Caenorhabditis elegans: one gene and its partner. The protein of the gene in region 2 interacts with the protein of the main gene of each other region in a pairwise test. Each region holds a gene or a part of one and is shown on either strand. Other genes may lie near its edges.

Region 1 (8,114 bases), on a different chromosome or scaffold from region 2:
ATGATGTAGACACGAACAGGAAAACTTTATGAATAGAATAGAAAACACTCGAATATTTGTGCTCTTTGTGCTAAAATCTTCCCTCCCTGTCTGCTCAACGCACTTTGCGAGATGAGTGAGAGATGGAAGAAGAGAGAAACAAAATGCAATTGTGTGATGGGTTCTCGACAAGAAAACGAAGAAGAAGAAACGAAATGTTTGAGAAAATGTGGTGGTGATGACAAGTGTTTCTTCATCCTCTATCAAAATTTTTTGAATTATTTTAACAATTTCTGAGGGGTTATGGGTTACTGTCGGTTAACTTGCTTAACCTATGATATAACATGGATCTATGATATTTCAGATCTACCTAACCCTAATCAAATTAACCAAATATGTTTTCTCGCCTAAATACGAGAAAAATTCGATTCGGTCCCAAAACGAACAAAAACTGTTTTCGCAATGGGATGTGCACCTTTAAATAAATAGTACTGTAGCTTCTTACTTTCTTACTCTCACAATGTTTTTGCTTTTTTTTCTATTTCTCACTCGGCCCTCCGATTTTAGAAAATTTGTTGTTTATATTCCCTCGTTTTCTTCTATTTGCAGAAAAAAATTGGGGTCGAAGAACAACAGTACATAAACACATTTCTTACTGTACATATAGTATTTGTTCGCTTTGAGACCTGGCACCGTATCTTTGAGTAAGAATAACGCATTTCTTAAAACTAGATAATAGAAATTTGCACTCTGTACCTAAAAGTTTGAGCATCTGGCGAAACTGATTCTTCCAGAAACTGAAAGAGTACATGAAACCACCGTTAACCTGGTCCAGTCTTCAATTGGAAGCAAGGATGGATTTCACCCGTAAAATTTAAAAAAAAACGGGTGATCGGGTCACCCGTCACCCGCGAAAACGCCCAAAAACGGGTGAACGGGTGAAACGGGTCACGGGTGAATCCATCCCTGATTGGAAGGGTTCTTTTCTTCAAGTAGATATAAAATATTCGCTATTAAAAGTTCGTTAAAATAATTTTAAAACATTTTTCTCATTAATATCACATATTTGTATTCAATATGTTTCAAAACATTGGAGAATATTCGGAAATCATTTCCACATTTCTTGAACTCTCTGTGGAATCCATCTTGTCCCTGCAGTTCATCAGAAGAACACATCAAGTTCGTTTGTGGTCTTCCGTCTACATTCAAGCTCATTCTTCATTCTTTTTTTCATTTTTCTTTTTTTTTGTTCTTCAACTTCATCTGCCCCTTTCAATTTGACCGATTGGTTTCTTTTTTCGAATGAAACGAGATTTCCGGAATTTCAGTCGAAACCTCTTTTTGGTTTCCATTTCGTTCTAGGAAATTAGGTTTTATCTGAAAAAGCAGGCACGACCAGAATTTCTGGTTTTGGTTGTGAAACAAATAACCTTGGGCTCAGCGTTGTGTTTCTGAAGATGACTATTTTTCTGAAAACTCCACGATGTTCCTGTTTCTCATTTTTGGGAGCTTTTCCAATTTCATGCTCTTCGTTCAATACTTAATTTCTGCGTCATTTCGTGAGAGTTTTGGTCTGAACCAGTAAGTGCAAATACTTTTATGAATTTTGACCTGTTATAGGTTATGTAAGTGCCTTAAGTTTATTGTTCTTTATGCTTGAAGACCCGGAGATCTACCGAAAAAGTAACTGATTGTTCTCAGTTGTACTAGATGAACATGTTATCAGGGTTTTATATAGTTTTATACCCAAATACGTTTCCCTCATATCTGGGCTCTTTTATCACACTTCTACATCGAATTATTTTCTTGTTTCCTTTTACATATGCCCACCAAGCCTGAAAATGCCTCGAATGTCTATAACCAGAAAACAAAATTGAATCACCAAGATTTGAGCGGCCGAAATTGAGAAACGAAGCACTACACTGTTCGAGGAAATACGGTATCTACTGTACATAATTGTGACATTATTCATACATAGATTTCTGATAAATATGATTTCCATACCAATTTGAACATTACATGTATTTTTTTGAGTTCCCGTCATTTTGAAATGAACTTGAAATTTGTAAGCATAATGTACAATCGTTGACCCAATAGAAGCAATTGCATTTTGCAACAAATTCCAGGATCACGTCAACTTTTGATGTCTCTGGTCTTCTTTTAAAACTAGATTACCCTTCCACAAAAATAGATTAATGAAAGTGTTAAAGAGCGGGTGGTGGCGTGGTTCTTCAATTTATTTCCGAGGAACCTCTCATTCCAGCACACAAACAATATCCTCCATCTTTTTCACGTTTCCACAGCCAATTTTTCCCTCCTCACATTCTCCTTCATTTCCATCATTCATTTTATTTTTTGTGTGTTTGTCTTGATGACAAATGTTCGGCAATTCATCATTTTTTTTAGTCGCTTTAAGGAAATCCAGAGTCTCCGCCTTCTCAACGAACAATTTGCGGAGAGTGCACCTACGATTTAGAATTTAGGAGATTTCATGCATTGGAAATGAGAAAAATGGGTGAATAGCATTTTCTCACCTTTTCTTAGCGGTTCTTGCATTTCAAAATGTTTCATAGAATCTGAAAATAAAAAAAGTTCATTCTCATGTCTAGCTTTTTTTTGAATGAATGAAAAAATTGTCTTCCAGTTAGTGTTACTGAAAAATATTTACTTAATGATTTTTTGATATATGCAAAATGCAACAAGATTTAAATTATTTTTTAAAAAAAGTTAAATTTTCTCAGCAACATGCCCAGAATCCTGCCGAAATTTTTCTTTCGATACCTGCAATACCTAAAAAGATAATTACATTTTTCTTCTTAGAAATGAATATACAAGCCCCCCTCATCGCCTTATCTGCATGAGAAATAAAAATACGCCCAACTAAAAAGTAATTCCACTTGTTTTTGCGTCAGGCTATATTCGTTTTTCTTAAAGTCAGTGTTTATTGATCTTCTTCAATTTGAGAAAATTAGTCTGATGACCTCTATACAAGGATATGTCAATAGAAACTGACATTTGGACTTTGCATAAAATTGAAAAAGAAGCGGCGGGAAGAGATGAAAACAAACTTTAATTCGATGAGACGTTTTCTGAGTTTTCGAGGAAAAAGGTTCCAACATCCTCTACACCTTTCAAATATTCCAAATTATATTTGAACTAGGTGGACACTTTAATTGTAGTTATATTTTCGTTTCCAACATCATTCACTTAAATCCGCTCTTTGAACATTTATTTCTCAATTTCTTCTCCGTGGGAATTTCAAGTGCTTTGGTTTTTTTGTAAATGCCATAAACTCATAGCTAATCCAAAATTGTATTTTATATATGTGTTTTGAGTGTGCTTTGAATAATTCGACCATATGTCAAGTGTTCGTTTTCCTTCCCTCTTCCGGAAATGTTGCCAAAATTTCGAAACTGGACATCTTCTTGTCTATCAAAAATCGAGATACAATCTTGAGTGGCTCTGTTGGGTTTCGTAATTTTCAAATTTGTTGATTTTTCACGAAAAGCGACTTATTTGGGTTTGTTATGTAATTTCATTGCGTTAATTCATAAAAATTTGAGTTTTATTTTTCTGATGATTGCATTGGTTCTGTTTTTCTCACTTTGGCTGGTTCATAGAAATCTATAAAAATGAAACTCAGAACATGTAGAAAAGTAGGCTACGCTTGTAATGTACTCCTATGGTCAACATCTTTCTTTCAACACCTAATAAATCTTTTGCACACATTCTCAGCTGTTCCAGGCCCTAAGGGAACTCAAGACGTGCAATTTCCAAGTTGCTCTCTTCCATACCAAAATGTCTCGTCTAGTTTTTTTTTTCATCATTTGTTCTACTTACATCTTGACTGTCAGTAATTTTGGGCATTTTCTAATTCTCATTCATTTGTTTTTTTTACTTTCTTTGAGTTCCAATTAAGAAACGAGATAGAATAGAAACGAGACAATGAAAAGAAAAAAGTTCGTTTAAAATTCTATTTTGTTCTGAATAACTTCCATGACTTCAGTCAAGGACAATAGCTTGTTTTGAAGGCATTTGAGATTTCTGGACACTTGCGCAATATAACTAAACAGATACGAAGCAATAGTTGAATTCATTTACGTGTCTACACACCTGGTTTATTATGTTTTTGCTGCTTTTGTTTTCTTTTATAGCAGAAGAAAGTTTTCTCCTCAAACTTCAGAGTTTTCACAATTCTCATTAAACATCCTTAAAAGTATTCCGATATTTTCTCACCCTGCAAAAGCAAAAAGATAATCCAATACCCTTCTCTCACTCCATTTCTACGTATTCTTCCGTTCATTCCTCCAATTCAAGTGCCCACTTGATCTTCCTTGAAATTCGAGACTCACGACTTCTCCTTTTAACTAGCACTTTTAACACGTTTCCACATTCTTCTAGTTTAAGATTTTTCAGAGTAACCACGGAATGCCATTAATTATGTACAAATTTCTATTAGTCACTTCAATATTCTTAATCGTTTCCGGGCTAATATTAACTGCGTTCTCGTTGTTTAGTCCTCTTTGGGAAGTAAGTTTCTAGTCAATAAAATTCTGGTTTTTTTTAAATGTCAATTTTGTAGGTAGTTGATTTTCCTCGTTCTCATTTATCACATCATCACGGTCTTTGGTGGGATTGTATTGTACATCATGAAACTTTAATTCCGTTACATGAAGATCAAGCAGAACTTCGAGGTACCTTTTTTCTGCTTTTGTTTTCTAAATAAAACAAGTTTAAGGTGATCGATGTGATAGTAAGATGGATTCTTCGGTTCAAGCATCATTAAGAGTTGCTCTTGAAAAAGGAGATGAAGAGGCCAGAGAGCTTTTGTTACATCGGTTTCTACGTAAGTTAACAATATTTTAATGCTTTTCATGTGCCGAAACTTACTTTTTTCTTTGTTAGAAAGATAAACTAGAAACTATATAAAACTGATTTACCAAATGCAGGTTCAAGTTATTTTTTAAAATAATTAGAGTGTGAGCGTAGTAGTTCAATAATTTGTTGATCAATTTTCTCTTTCTGGATACAGAAGCGTATTGGCATTGCAACGTACATACACATGTTTGGTTCCATGCTATTAATTCAATTGATTTTCTGTCTTAAATTCTAGGACTGTAATGCTATTTTTTGTAATTTAGTATTTTCTGATCTAGAATATGCGGTAACAATAAATTAGATTTTACTGTCCAAACACAAAATTACTGAAGATACAAGTTGATTTTATATTCTTCATGAAACCAAAAAAAAATTAATTTCAGCTCATCACAAAGGTGTAATTTTCTTCGCAGTTTTCACTTTTGTTTTCGGACTAATCTCCATCCTGATTGGCTCCTGTTCTCCATGTTTTCCACCAAATGCACTACTTTATGTAGTTGGTGTCTTTATGACCGGAGCATGTTCTTTATTAGCAGATATTATCTACATATTTGCTTTTAATCAGAAACCAATTTTTACAAAAGAACAATCTGAGCCACACCAAGAAGTTTTATCGAGAAGAGAACGAGGATCCATTGGACCCATTTATGTAAAAATTCGAAAAAAAATTGATGTCATCTTTTTATTTTTTTTTTCAAATTCCAGAAGCGTCTTGGCATTGCAACGTACATGCATATGTTTGGTTCCATGCTATTAATTGCTGCATTCATCTTTTCAATTTTTTGTGCCTACTTCCTCATCACTTCAAAACATGCACACGACGTTTGTTGCACAAGTCGAAAAGAGTACAGAGAGCAGACAAAGTAAGTTTAATCTGATTTGCGGATTTTTCTAAACATGTAACTTTCGTCTAATAAAACAACTTTCAAGAGTAAAATAAAGGTTTTCAGATGGAAAAACAATGGGCTAATTCTAAAAACTGGAAGAGTAAATCATCAATCACATCGGCCATTTGTAGTGATTGACGATGACAGCAGTATGTGAACTGATATGCTCTCAATTTAAAAATTCTGTGATTTGATCTCTTTATTTTGAAATACGGGTTTTTAACAATTTGATCTTAATAATGAATGTAAATAATGTTCAATTAATAAATGTAAAACAAGAAGTTTCAAAATCAAATTGGAATTTTAAAAATAATTTGTGTCTTTCCATACACTCGCATTTTCATAACTTAGTTTGTCAAAGATCGTACTTGGAGAATCGTTGCTTTAGGTTTTATACCAAACAATATCAAAATTTCTTTTCTCATCTGAAAATCAGGATATAACATTCTTGAGACTATATTTCAACCCTCACAGTTTTACTAAAACAAATCAACAGCCAAGGTTGCACCAAAGATAAACCGTCACTAACAAATGGTAGAACCATTGTAAGATATGATAACATAGAACAATAGTTGCACTTCAATAAAGCAATAGAAATTATTGTTCCAATAAGTTGGACTAAACATGTTATAGACATTATGAGTAAAAAGTTTGTTTCCGCTTTTTTTCTTTGAATATTCAGATTTCGTAAAAATATGACACTTGTAGTATTGGAAAGAATTGAAATTGCCATACAAATGCACATAAATGGAATTAATACATTGTAAATTTCTATGAATGGCTGAAACCTCAATCAAGTTATTTATTTATTTATTTTTATTTTTTTTTGTTTTGTAAAAGTTTCCGCCCACCATATTTGGGGTTTGCAATGTGTAAGAGTCGCTTTCGTTGAGATAGTCAATTGTGAATTTATTTTGAAAAATAATATGAGTGTTGAGAAAGGGAACAAAATAAGCAACTAGAATAAATAACCATGTAATTTTTTTCCAAATCTGAAATTCTATTTGTGTCTTTGAATTCGTCGTAGATTGATTTACCGGTTCGAAAATGTTATACTTAAACAATACTGTCAACCGATTCAAAGAAACAAGAGTTGTTAAAGCGTATTGAACATATGCCATATGATAAGCCATTGTACCCATAAATGTTAAGGGCAAAAAATTACCTGGAAACTAAATTTTATGAAATCTACTACCGGTCGTTTAAAATCAAGTATTTTTTTTAGCTAGGTTTCAGTAGTATATGCACGAAATTTTTCACCGTGGAACTAACCTATGTGTCTGAAAATTGGTGCCATCAAACAGTTATAACACGTTATACTGGTAAGTCGCATGAAGACGAGTCCCATTATGTAGGTGAAAATGTTCATAAATCCGTCAAACATAAAAATTTGGTAAAACGATGAATCAAATAATTTATTGTTTTTGATAATAACTATGCAAGTTGTGATATAAAGTGCTACGGATGGAATACCATAAATAACAGAAGAAATGAAAGTAGTTAGGTTTCCGTTCATTTTGAAATATTAATAGAAATTTCAGTAAAAAGAAGAATTCGTTAAGCCTATTCTGAATCCCAGACAATTTTAGGAAAAAAGGTGTGAAAATAATTATGAAATATCATGAATTCTGCACGTAGATTTCGAAAAATATGTGAGGGGATCAGTTTCCAACAATGTACTCATAGACATCAATGCGAATACTCATCGAACCGAAAATACTTCAGAATCGATGTTTATTTCAGAAAGGAAGCAAATGTGATTGTTGAGTAGAATTTTTGAAAATAGGTTTCTCTGAATTTTTCCGTAAGGAAATTGTCTATTGTGTCATGAGGATCACAAAGATCTTTGACTTTAAAGCCCGAATAAATTGGGATCTAGAACATTGTTCCAAAATATCTGGAGGTTCCATCGAACATATAAACTGGAAAATTGAGAAAAATCAATTGATAAATTCTAGTTCCAACAGTTGTTATCATCGAGTTAGCTTGTATAGAATGTTCCTAAAATGCAACATTTTTAAATTTAATAAAAAAATTCTCCCGTTTATTGTTTGATGCTAAGGGTTCGTTGATGATTATGACTTGCAAACACAAAAAAGAAGAAACGAGGCGTTGTTGGAAGTTCGGAACACATGAGAAATGTCTATGGGGAAACGGCGGAGGAAAAATGAGCAGCACACAAGCACACAAAAATTGTCGGAAAGTTTGAAAAATATAGAGAGGCAAATCACCAATATGGCAAGGTTTTTGTGGGAGGGTGGAATAAGTGAGAGCAAAAAAAACAATAAATTGTACAGAATAGGCAAAAAAGAAAACAAGGGTGATATTGAGCATGGTTTTTTGTTGAGCATTGACATTTTGGAATTCAAA
Region 2 (8,940 bases):
AACTTACCAAGATGTCCATTTATCGTGGACCAAATCCATCTGAGCCAGAGTGAGAATTTATTATTTATTTCTATTTATTTCTCAAAATTTGAAGATCCGTGGATACTCCATTCTCGTGTTATTGTGGTCAAAATCGGACGAGAAAAGTCGAAGCAATTTGGGAAAATGGGAATATTGTTGGAATTGATATTCAATTTGATACTCAAAGTACTGGAATTTTTTGAAATTATTAAAAAAAGTGAATATTTGCAGACGGAAGAATTGTCGATGGAGAGTATGATGTATCCACGTACACACGACAAATCTATTTTGGAGACTCTGTTTCGGTTGGTTTTCTCAATCAAAAAAATTTGTTCTAAAAATTTAAATTTTAGGATGTGCAATCGATTCTTGGAGCCCCGACAAAGGTCTTCTACAAGTCCGATGACAAGATGAAGTACGTTCTCGTTCTCTTGAAAATTCAAATTCTTTTCTCACAAATTTAGATTTATTTTCAATAGATGTTGAATTTTCCACTGAAAATTTAAACAATTTTTGAAGAAAAATTTTCTTAAAAAAAGTTGAAGGGTTTCAATGTAAGCGTTTTATATCAATTAAAAATAATTCATATAGCATTTTGTTGATATTCAGCAATATCCAATGAATAAATTAAAAAATTGTGAAAAAAGTTCTTTTTTTTCAAAATGCCTGAAATTTATTTAACAACTTTCCAACTAATATTTAAAAAGGATAAATTTTGAAAAAAAAAGTTAAAAGATTTCAGAAAATTTCATTAAAAAAATATTTAAAAATTCAGGAACGCCTAAAATTTCTCGAAAACTGAAGTTTTTAAAATTTAACCATTAACAGTTTCTAGCTTTATCAAAATTTCCGCTTCATCTGAATATTGAAAATTTCCAGAATTCATCGTGGACTTCACAAGGAGACACTCTATGGACCACCAAATTTCTTCTTCAACTACTTTGTAATGGGATTGGTAAGGTTTTTAGGGATTTAGATTACTGTAGCAATTCTTGCTATTGGGTACTATATTTTGTCTGTCAATGAGTCGAAGTTAATGTTCCAATCCCTTGTAATTGAACATATCCGGGAAAGGGATCGCTAATGCACACGCAATGGCTATTGTAGACAAATCTTTCTTCCGCATATGATAATAATCTGGGTAATCGTAGTGGTGGCTCCCTCTTGCATGTCCATGGCGTCCGGAAAGATTTACGACTCTGTAGAGAGAGAGAGAGAGAGAGAGAGACTCTTCGTTTGTGACACTTGTACGAATTTTCATCTGCTACATTTAACAAGAAGACGACTGAATTACTACTACACACTAATGACCTTCGTTTTTTGACACCGCACAGTTTATTTCATCAAGCAGTAAAGAAACTGAATGAGAGGACAAAGAAGGTGTCAATTCATTTTTTGTCGGAAGATGGATCAGAATTTCAAAGAAAACACAGCTATGGTCAATGATGAAAGCTTTTGTATGATTGAAAATTTCCTGCGTCATGGTTTCCTGAAATTGTAGTCTTTTTAGCTCATAGAAAACTTTTACCGACGCTCACGATCCTTACACAGGTGATTCGCCGTTTATGGACACCAACAGTAGGCTTCTACCCACAATGGATCTATACCAAAGGTTTTGGGTTTTGAATTTGTCGTCGATATATTAAATCTTCATTAACAAATTCCCCCGGAATTTTGAATATGAGGCAGATGTGCTGCCATATAAAGAATATTTATACAAGAAAGATGTCAATTAATTTAAAACCACGCGCGAACATACGATGGCAAGTCTTGGAAATTAGCTTTTGTAGTTTCAACAAGACTACTTCTTTTTGATCCAAGAAGCTTTGGTTGACTTCCAGAAGATTGATGCTTTTGTTTATTGAATCGTAGAGAAATTCGATCACAAAATTGTATACTCAAACTGAAAGTATACAATTTTATTGACTGTTCAAAAGCATAGAATAGTGGTAATTATCGAAAGAGACGGATGTTTACATGTGTACTTGTGCGACGAACACCGATCCGTCATTTTTCATAGTTATGTCTTGTTCTTCGTGGTCATCTATCCAACTTAATTGGCATTGGCTTACTCCAATTGTTTTGGGTGTCACTTGGGAATCTAACGGATGAGACGACGTGTCATAACAGATTGTGCAATCTACATCCACGAATTCGCGCGCGTGTGCACATACATACGCACATCAATTTATTATTCGAATGGCTCATAAACTCATAAATTAACGAGTCCCTGTCGAACAACCAATTTTCAATTCATAAACGTCAAAATTTTGTGGCTACGGAGATTTTCCCGCGGAGTTTTTTTAAACGAAAAAGTCAACTCTCCTTCTCGAAACCTTCTCAATTATGCATTTGTCTTGGTGTGCATTTGACAAATGAGTTGACCCCCACAGAGAACCAGGGCGTAAAGACAACAGCCTCGCCGATTTATTACTTCTTTGCCGACGGATTTACGGCCGAGAAGAGGTGTCTTACCTCTTGAAAACTACTATTATGCTGCTGATTAAGGCTCCTGTCTATTTCATTGAACTTGGTATATCTACGAGCAGTTTATTTTATTTACAGACAAAGGGTTAAACAATTGAACACCGTATCGAAAAAGGGGGCAAAAATACATGAAAATGGGGCTGGGAGATCGAACGACTAGATGGATGCAAATAATCACACGGATTTAGATTTTTGAAACATTTGAAACTCTCAAAAGGATATTTAAATGCCAAAATAGGATGATCCAGGTTTTGGAGGTGCTGGTGGAATCAATGGAGGAGTGGCTTTAAATGTTTCAGTACTAACCAAGAATGGATCAAATGGTGGTGATAATGGACCATGTGTATCATTTGTACTCGAAGAGCAACTATGTGTGTTTGCCATCGTGAGTGGAGTTCGAGAGTGTTCTCGTGTCACATATGATCCTTTGTACTGTCGCTCACGAAGGAAATAGATGCATCCAAGAATCATAAGAAGTAGTGCGGCAAAAAGGAGAACTCCTGCGAGAAGTATGAGCATTTCACTTGTTTGCGTTAATCCATACCGTGCACCAAACAAAACGGCACAGTCGTTTACCTGAAGTTTTTAAATAGTGAAATTAATAACGTGAATGTGAATCTTACGTCGGTAATTGCCAGAACTGAATGACCTTCCACAAGCGATGGTGTCGCGCATCGGACATTATCGTAGTTGAGAATGTGTCTCATCGCATAACGATCTCGCATATGAACCTGAAAAGATGTTCGAATTAATTCAGAAATAAGAGAGGAAAAGACTCACTTGAAGTCCTTGAATAGCACATGAACAATCCCAAGGATTTCCATCTACGTACACTTGTTCAACATTATTTAGGAATGCCAAATCTGTATGCGAGAAGGTGTGGAATCGGTTGGCTGTGATGTCGAAAGTCTAAAGAAATCTCAGTGAGCAGGTTTCAAATGACATGCGTGTCCCCATATAAGGGGGTCCACAAACGCTTCGAATTTCGTATAGAAAATGGACATACTTTCACATTTGGAAGCAAAGTGTTGATATTGTCAGGCAAATAAGTCAATTCATTTCCGGAAATGTTCAATGAAATCAGGTGGTAATAGCGAGACGGCAGCTGTACCGGGATGAATTTGATGTGGTTGTAGGCCAGTTCGAGATGAATCAACGACTTCAATGTATAGGTCCATGACTCCTCGAAATCTAAAATTACAAATTAATTATGCCATCTCTAGTAACTTTGAAAAACCGTTCTTCAAATTTAAAAATCGGAAAAACTTTTAAATTAAAAACAATCTAAAAAGTTTTAAAAATCTAGTTTTGGGGTTATTTTAACTTTTGCTACAAAAACTCACTTTTCAAGAAATTTCCTGACAATGCAATCGAAGTCAGCTCTTCTTGTGCCCATCCCAACCATTTTGAGTCAAAATCATTCATATGATTGAATGACAAATCCAGATGACGTAATGGCATCGTTCGGAACGCATCCTCGTTAAACGGAGAGTCTTTCGAAATTCCGAGCAAATTGTGGGAAAGATCCAATTTTGAGATATTCGTATTGCAAAATGCACAGGCTGTGATTTCTTGAATGGAATTGTGAGACAAGTCGAGAACAGAAAGTTGAGGAAGAGATCTCAGTTCTTTAGTTGGAACCATTTTGAGATTATTTCCTCCGATTCCAAGTTGACGGAGTTGAGGAATACGATCAAGAGCCAGAGAATAAATTGATGAAAGATTGCAATGATTCAAATATAATTCATCCAATTGGGAAACATCTGTGAATAACTCATTGATGTGTTCAATTGGAATAGGATTCCGGTCTAGTCGTAGAACTCGAAGAGAATTGAGACCTCGAAGTAAATTTGTAGAAAGATCACTGATAGTATTATTGGATAGAGACAATGATCGCAGGGCTCTAAGATATGTGAATACTCCAGTTGGAAGAATATTCAAATGATTCGATGATAAATCCAATACTCGAAGTTTTGGCATACCACCAAAGTTGCTCATTGTCGCATGCTCAATATTGTTTGAGTGTAGATCTAATACTTCCAAAGATGGCAGTCGAATGGATCGGGACATTGCTGGAATCTGACAATTGATGAGACGAAGAACTCGAAGCTGTGCAAAACGGTTTATGTTGTCATTCCATCGAAGTTTGTTAGAACCAATGCGATTTGAGGGCGGCTAAAACAATTTATGTAAATGAAGGGATTAGATTGACGGACGGACGTTGTGGTTTTAGATCTTATCGTTTACTAACCTGAATATGAAGTGATCGAAGAGTCAACGGAAGTTGGTTTAGAATTTCCGCGTAAATCGTATCGTTTATGATTGCCTTTCGACAATAAACACTCCAAGACGAGTCATTTTGATCGCATTCACAAAGATTCGGACATGATGATGGTAGTGCAATAGAGCATAATACCAAAAAACTTAAAAATAAAAGCAAAATGTATGAAATCATTGTTCCAATTCGGAACAAAGAATCCTTGACTTCTCCAGAAGACAAACAACACAGCAGCTAGAAGCAGCAAACGTGAGGCAAAACACCATGAGAAGGCGAAGGGGACGGGCGGATAAAGGGGCGGGGCTTAAGGCGAAGGAGGGTCAACAGAGACACCACCCATGGGAAGAAGAAGAAGAAGGATGACCGGATAGAAGAGGAAGAAGCAATGTGTGCCTGACAGCACCACCTAATGTTGTTTTCATGTACCAGAGGGTGGCAATTATCACACCACTAAAAGAAAATCTATTCCCGCTTCAGGCGTTTTTGGCGTCGGGTGGTGGATGCTTGAGTTTTCTTGGAAGCAAGAGGGTGTTTGACTGAATATAATAGTTCTAAAAAATTTCAGAACCATCTCCAAGGACGAAGTTGAGCTTATCTATGTGAAGATCTATGTAATATCATTATCATCTGAGCTCAAGCAAAACTTTGCTCCTAAAATCTCAACGTCATGCTAAGGTTTCTGATGGAGATTGCATTCACGAACTTATCATATATTCATGAGGTTCTGTTAAATTGTGCAGCTCCACTCGCCCCCGTTCTCGATTGCACCCGGCTGTTCCCTAGATTTCTTCAATTTTCCCTTCAAAGTGATTTTACGAAAGCTCCAAATTATAGAGAATGCTCTAAAGTGATTCAAACGGGCATTGAAAAAAAACAAACGTCTTCCTGTAATAGTGGTCAAGGATGCCAGATGTGAAAGGGTGGGCATCACCAAATGTCAGCAGGCAGGCGCTTTTCGTTTACGACTTGCCCTTTTATTGGTGTACCCGTGTGTGTGTGTGTGGTAATAAAAGGTGATGGTGACTCTTTTCTCTGGATAGTGTTCATATTGACTATGGTGCGAAGATAATTGAGCAGAAGATGACGACGACAAGTGGTGGGAGAAGACAAGCATCGGAATTGTCGACGACATATGGTTCAAATTTGGTGGTAATTCATCCGTCATATCGAGTACCACAGAATACACTTGGCATCGAATAAAGGATCCTGTGGACAAATAATGAGCTGTTTTTTATCCGGTCAACCGAGGGGAATACTGTAAATTCAATTAGAGGAATACGGTACTTTACAGTAAATATCCATACCGTGTCATAAAAGCTTTACGAAGTATTTTCATGAAAAACGTTCTTATAAAATTATGCTTAATTTCGCATACTGATTCTTATCCGACGATTCGGTAAATCATAAAGACCAATGACTAATGCAAGAGACCTCTCAAACTGTATGTCAACACCCAATCAATCTCATTGCAAGATATTCCCGTCAGCATCCAAAACCCAAAGAAAGTGTCAAATTGCTCCTTCCAACACATTTTCGCTTATAAACTCATTAATCAAAATGTTCAATTTCCGTTTGAGATTGAATCTTTTCCGGGTTGTCGGCAAACTTTAACCCAATTCCACCGCATTCGTTGTCTTTCGCTCTTCCAAGCCCGCTCATCACAGACAGACCAATTAAGATGGTGTGAATCTCGGTGAGCACCCGCGTTCGGTTATCCTCGTGTGGAGTGACGAACACCACGGCTGTCACTATCGGAAGTGTGTGTTTGGGGTAATTTATCCACACACCGATTGACATGTCACACAAGCTCTCGCACTCTTTTCATTTATCACACCTGAAGAAAGTGTTGGCGTATGTGTGTGAGGATTTGCGCATTGTGTTGCGGTGCCCTTCAAATGTTTGATGTATCATTTTGTATGCACGAACTCTCTGGAGGACGTGTCCATGGAACTGACACTCATTTTCGACAAGTTTTCTATTCTACGATGAAAATATTTTACGAGCGTATTGGGAGTGGAACTCCCGCCGGGAAAATAGGAATATACATATATACTCGGCAATTCCCGGCAGCTTCTTCCCCAAGTTTGGGCCTTTTCAGCTTCTTACCCAACTCTTGCCAACTTCTAGCCCAGTGTATGCCCAAGTCTTACCCAACTTCAACAATTCTAGTGTAAACTCCCTCGCCCGAGTCTTGCCCAAGTCTTAGCCAAGTTTTGCCAACTTCTTACCCAAGTTTGCAGATGTAAAGAACGAACAAGATTCCGAAATCCCGCATGCGCAATTTTTAGCGTAAATCGACACTTTGTCTTTTGAGTAATTTGTATTTAAAATAGAGGAATTTCAATGTAATTGAAAGAATTCACAGGAAAACTTGTCCCTTCAAAGGCAAATTCTAAATATTTTTCTCTGATGGCTAACATTGTTTAAAAAATGTACGAACAAAGTTTGCTTTTTATTGCCATTTTGTCTAATAAACCATTTAATTTATCTAAAAATAAAAAGAAAAGTTATCTTCAGGATTATTCTTCTCCTAGTCAGTCCAATAGTCAAGTAATAGTCAGTCAATCCTATGCATCAAATTTTGAATTTTTCTAAGACTGAACTGTTCCTTTGAAATGTAAACTTTTATAAAATTGAAAGACATGAAACAAACATGAATTACAGTAATTCTGTAAATTCTGAACTTAGAATCATTAGGGAGCACACTTGAAAAAAAAAATGAAATAAGGTATGTGAGAATACCGTATCAATCCGATATGTCTGGTACTTCCTCAAAAATATCTATCAGAATATGAGTACTATATATTTTTACGAGTGTGCATCTTTTCGCGCGACCATCATGGCTCAGCAGGGGCGGCGCCCAACTCTTGCCCAAGGTTTACCCAAGTCTTGGCAACTCCTTATAAATGTTTTTATTTTTTGGGCAAGGCTTGGGTAAGAAGTTGCGAAGCCTTGGGTAGGAAGCTGGCGGCAAACGCCGAGTATGTATAAGATTATAATGGCAAAAGGGTAGTAAGACATTGGACAGGTGTTTCGCCACTTTAACGTTACAAAGCTAATCCGTAGGTTCATCATACCCATTGATGCCTTGGCGGAGAGTTCAAAGCGATAAGATTATCGAATTGAAACGATGGGACCACCACAAATAGGCGTGCAACTTCTTCCGGAGGGACCATTTAGTGGTGTGAAATGCTTTGGCAATTAATCATTTCGGAGCTTCTGACCGCCGCTATTATGATCATCATGAAGATTCCCTCGGACAGCAGTAACAATTTGTCGGAACATTTTGAAGGGGAGAGGCTGGTCACAATACCTATTATTAACCGTACATTTAGCATTGCGGGATATGCGAAATTAAAACTCGGACACTATATCTGGTTGGGTGGGCAAGCAATTTGACAGGCGATTGGTGCTATTCAACTTGACACTTTTCGTTTCGAAACCAGGAAGATTATGAAATAGATGGGACGCGCGGCGAACAATTTGGTTGACAAAAAGCATCAAGTAGTGCATCAGAATGAAGTTGAATGGATTATAAAGGGGTCAGTGCGGATGTTTATGCAGTTACTGTCAGAGGAACAGAGAAGATGAATAAGAATCTGTCTCCGTTGAACTCTTGTTGATGTGCTCATTTTCATGTAGCTTTTTGATCCTTGGTCTATTCCTTAAACACTTTGGTGCGTGTAGTTAGGATTTGAATTTAGATTCTAAATTTCAAATTCATGACATTCGAACTTTGTTTGTGAAGTAAGATGTTATTGGAATGTGATATGACTGCAAAGTAGCAGTCTGACCTCGATTCTTGTCGCTTCCGTCGGTTCAAACTTTGTTTGCTATCCATCCATCCATCGAAACCACTTTGTCGTTTATCCATACGACTAATTCTTGAAATCAGGAAGAGAAGAGGAGCCCCATCTTTTCATGTGTTTGTATGTGTACTTTTCAATGAGCATAGTCCTTTATTACGGGGAGATGGGAGTCTCGGAATACGTTTATTCAATTTCGGCTCCTTCCAAAAACATACTTGCTTCTTTTTCGCTCGTTTACTGCTTTCTCTCTCTCTATCTCTCTTCTTCCTCCCTCGCAATTGTTTTGTGAGTGATGAGAACAAAGAGCTCTGTAGGAAAACGAAAAGTGACCAGCTGAAGAAGAAG

What was found.
Region 1: the proteins of dma-1 (region 2) and hpo-30 come close enough for resonance energy transfer, tested with the Caenorhabditis elegans proteins (one study listed by BioGRID).

The regions. Positions count from the first base shown.
Region 1 is NC_003283.11:12,306,636-12,314,749, reverse strand, and holds hpo-30 (Clc-like protein), read left to right. Parts: upstream 1-4,393; 5' UTR 4,394-4,407; coding exon 4,408-4,509; intron 4,510-4,561; coding exon 4,562-4,673; intron 4,674-4,717; coding exon 4,718-4,825; intron 4,826-5,240; coding exon 5,241-5,506; intron 5,507-5,562; coding exon 5,563-5,720; intron 5,721-5,807; coding exon 5,808-5,901; 3' UTR 5,902-6,025; downstream 6,026-8,114. Other genes in the region: srg-45 (Serpentine receptor class gamma), read right to left, coding at 6,092-6,169, 6,217-6,525, 6,596-6,736, 6,782-6,909, 7,017-7,260.
Region 2 is NC_003279.8:8,278,089-8,287,028, reverse strand, and holds dma-1 (LRRCT domain-containing protein), read right to left. Parts: upstream 5,061-8,940; 5' UTR 4,964-5,060; coding exon 4,760-4,963; intron 4,684-4,759; coding exon 3,852-4,683; intron 3,700-3,851; coding exon 3,515-3,699; intron 3,418-3,514; coding exon 3,289-3,417; intron 3,240-3,288; coding exon 3,132-3,239; intron 3,085-3,131; coding exon 2,731-3,084; 3' UTR 2,552-2,730; downstream 1-2,551. Other genes in the region: phaf-1 (PHAF1 protein T01G9.2), read left to right, coding at 1-49, 95-207, 253-326, 375-436, 901-976.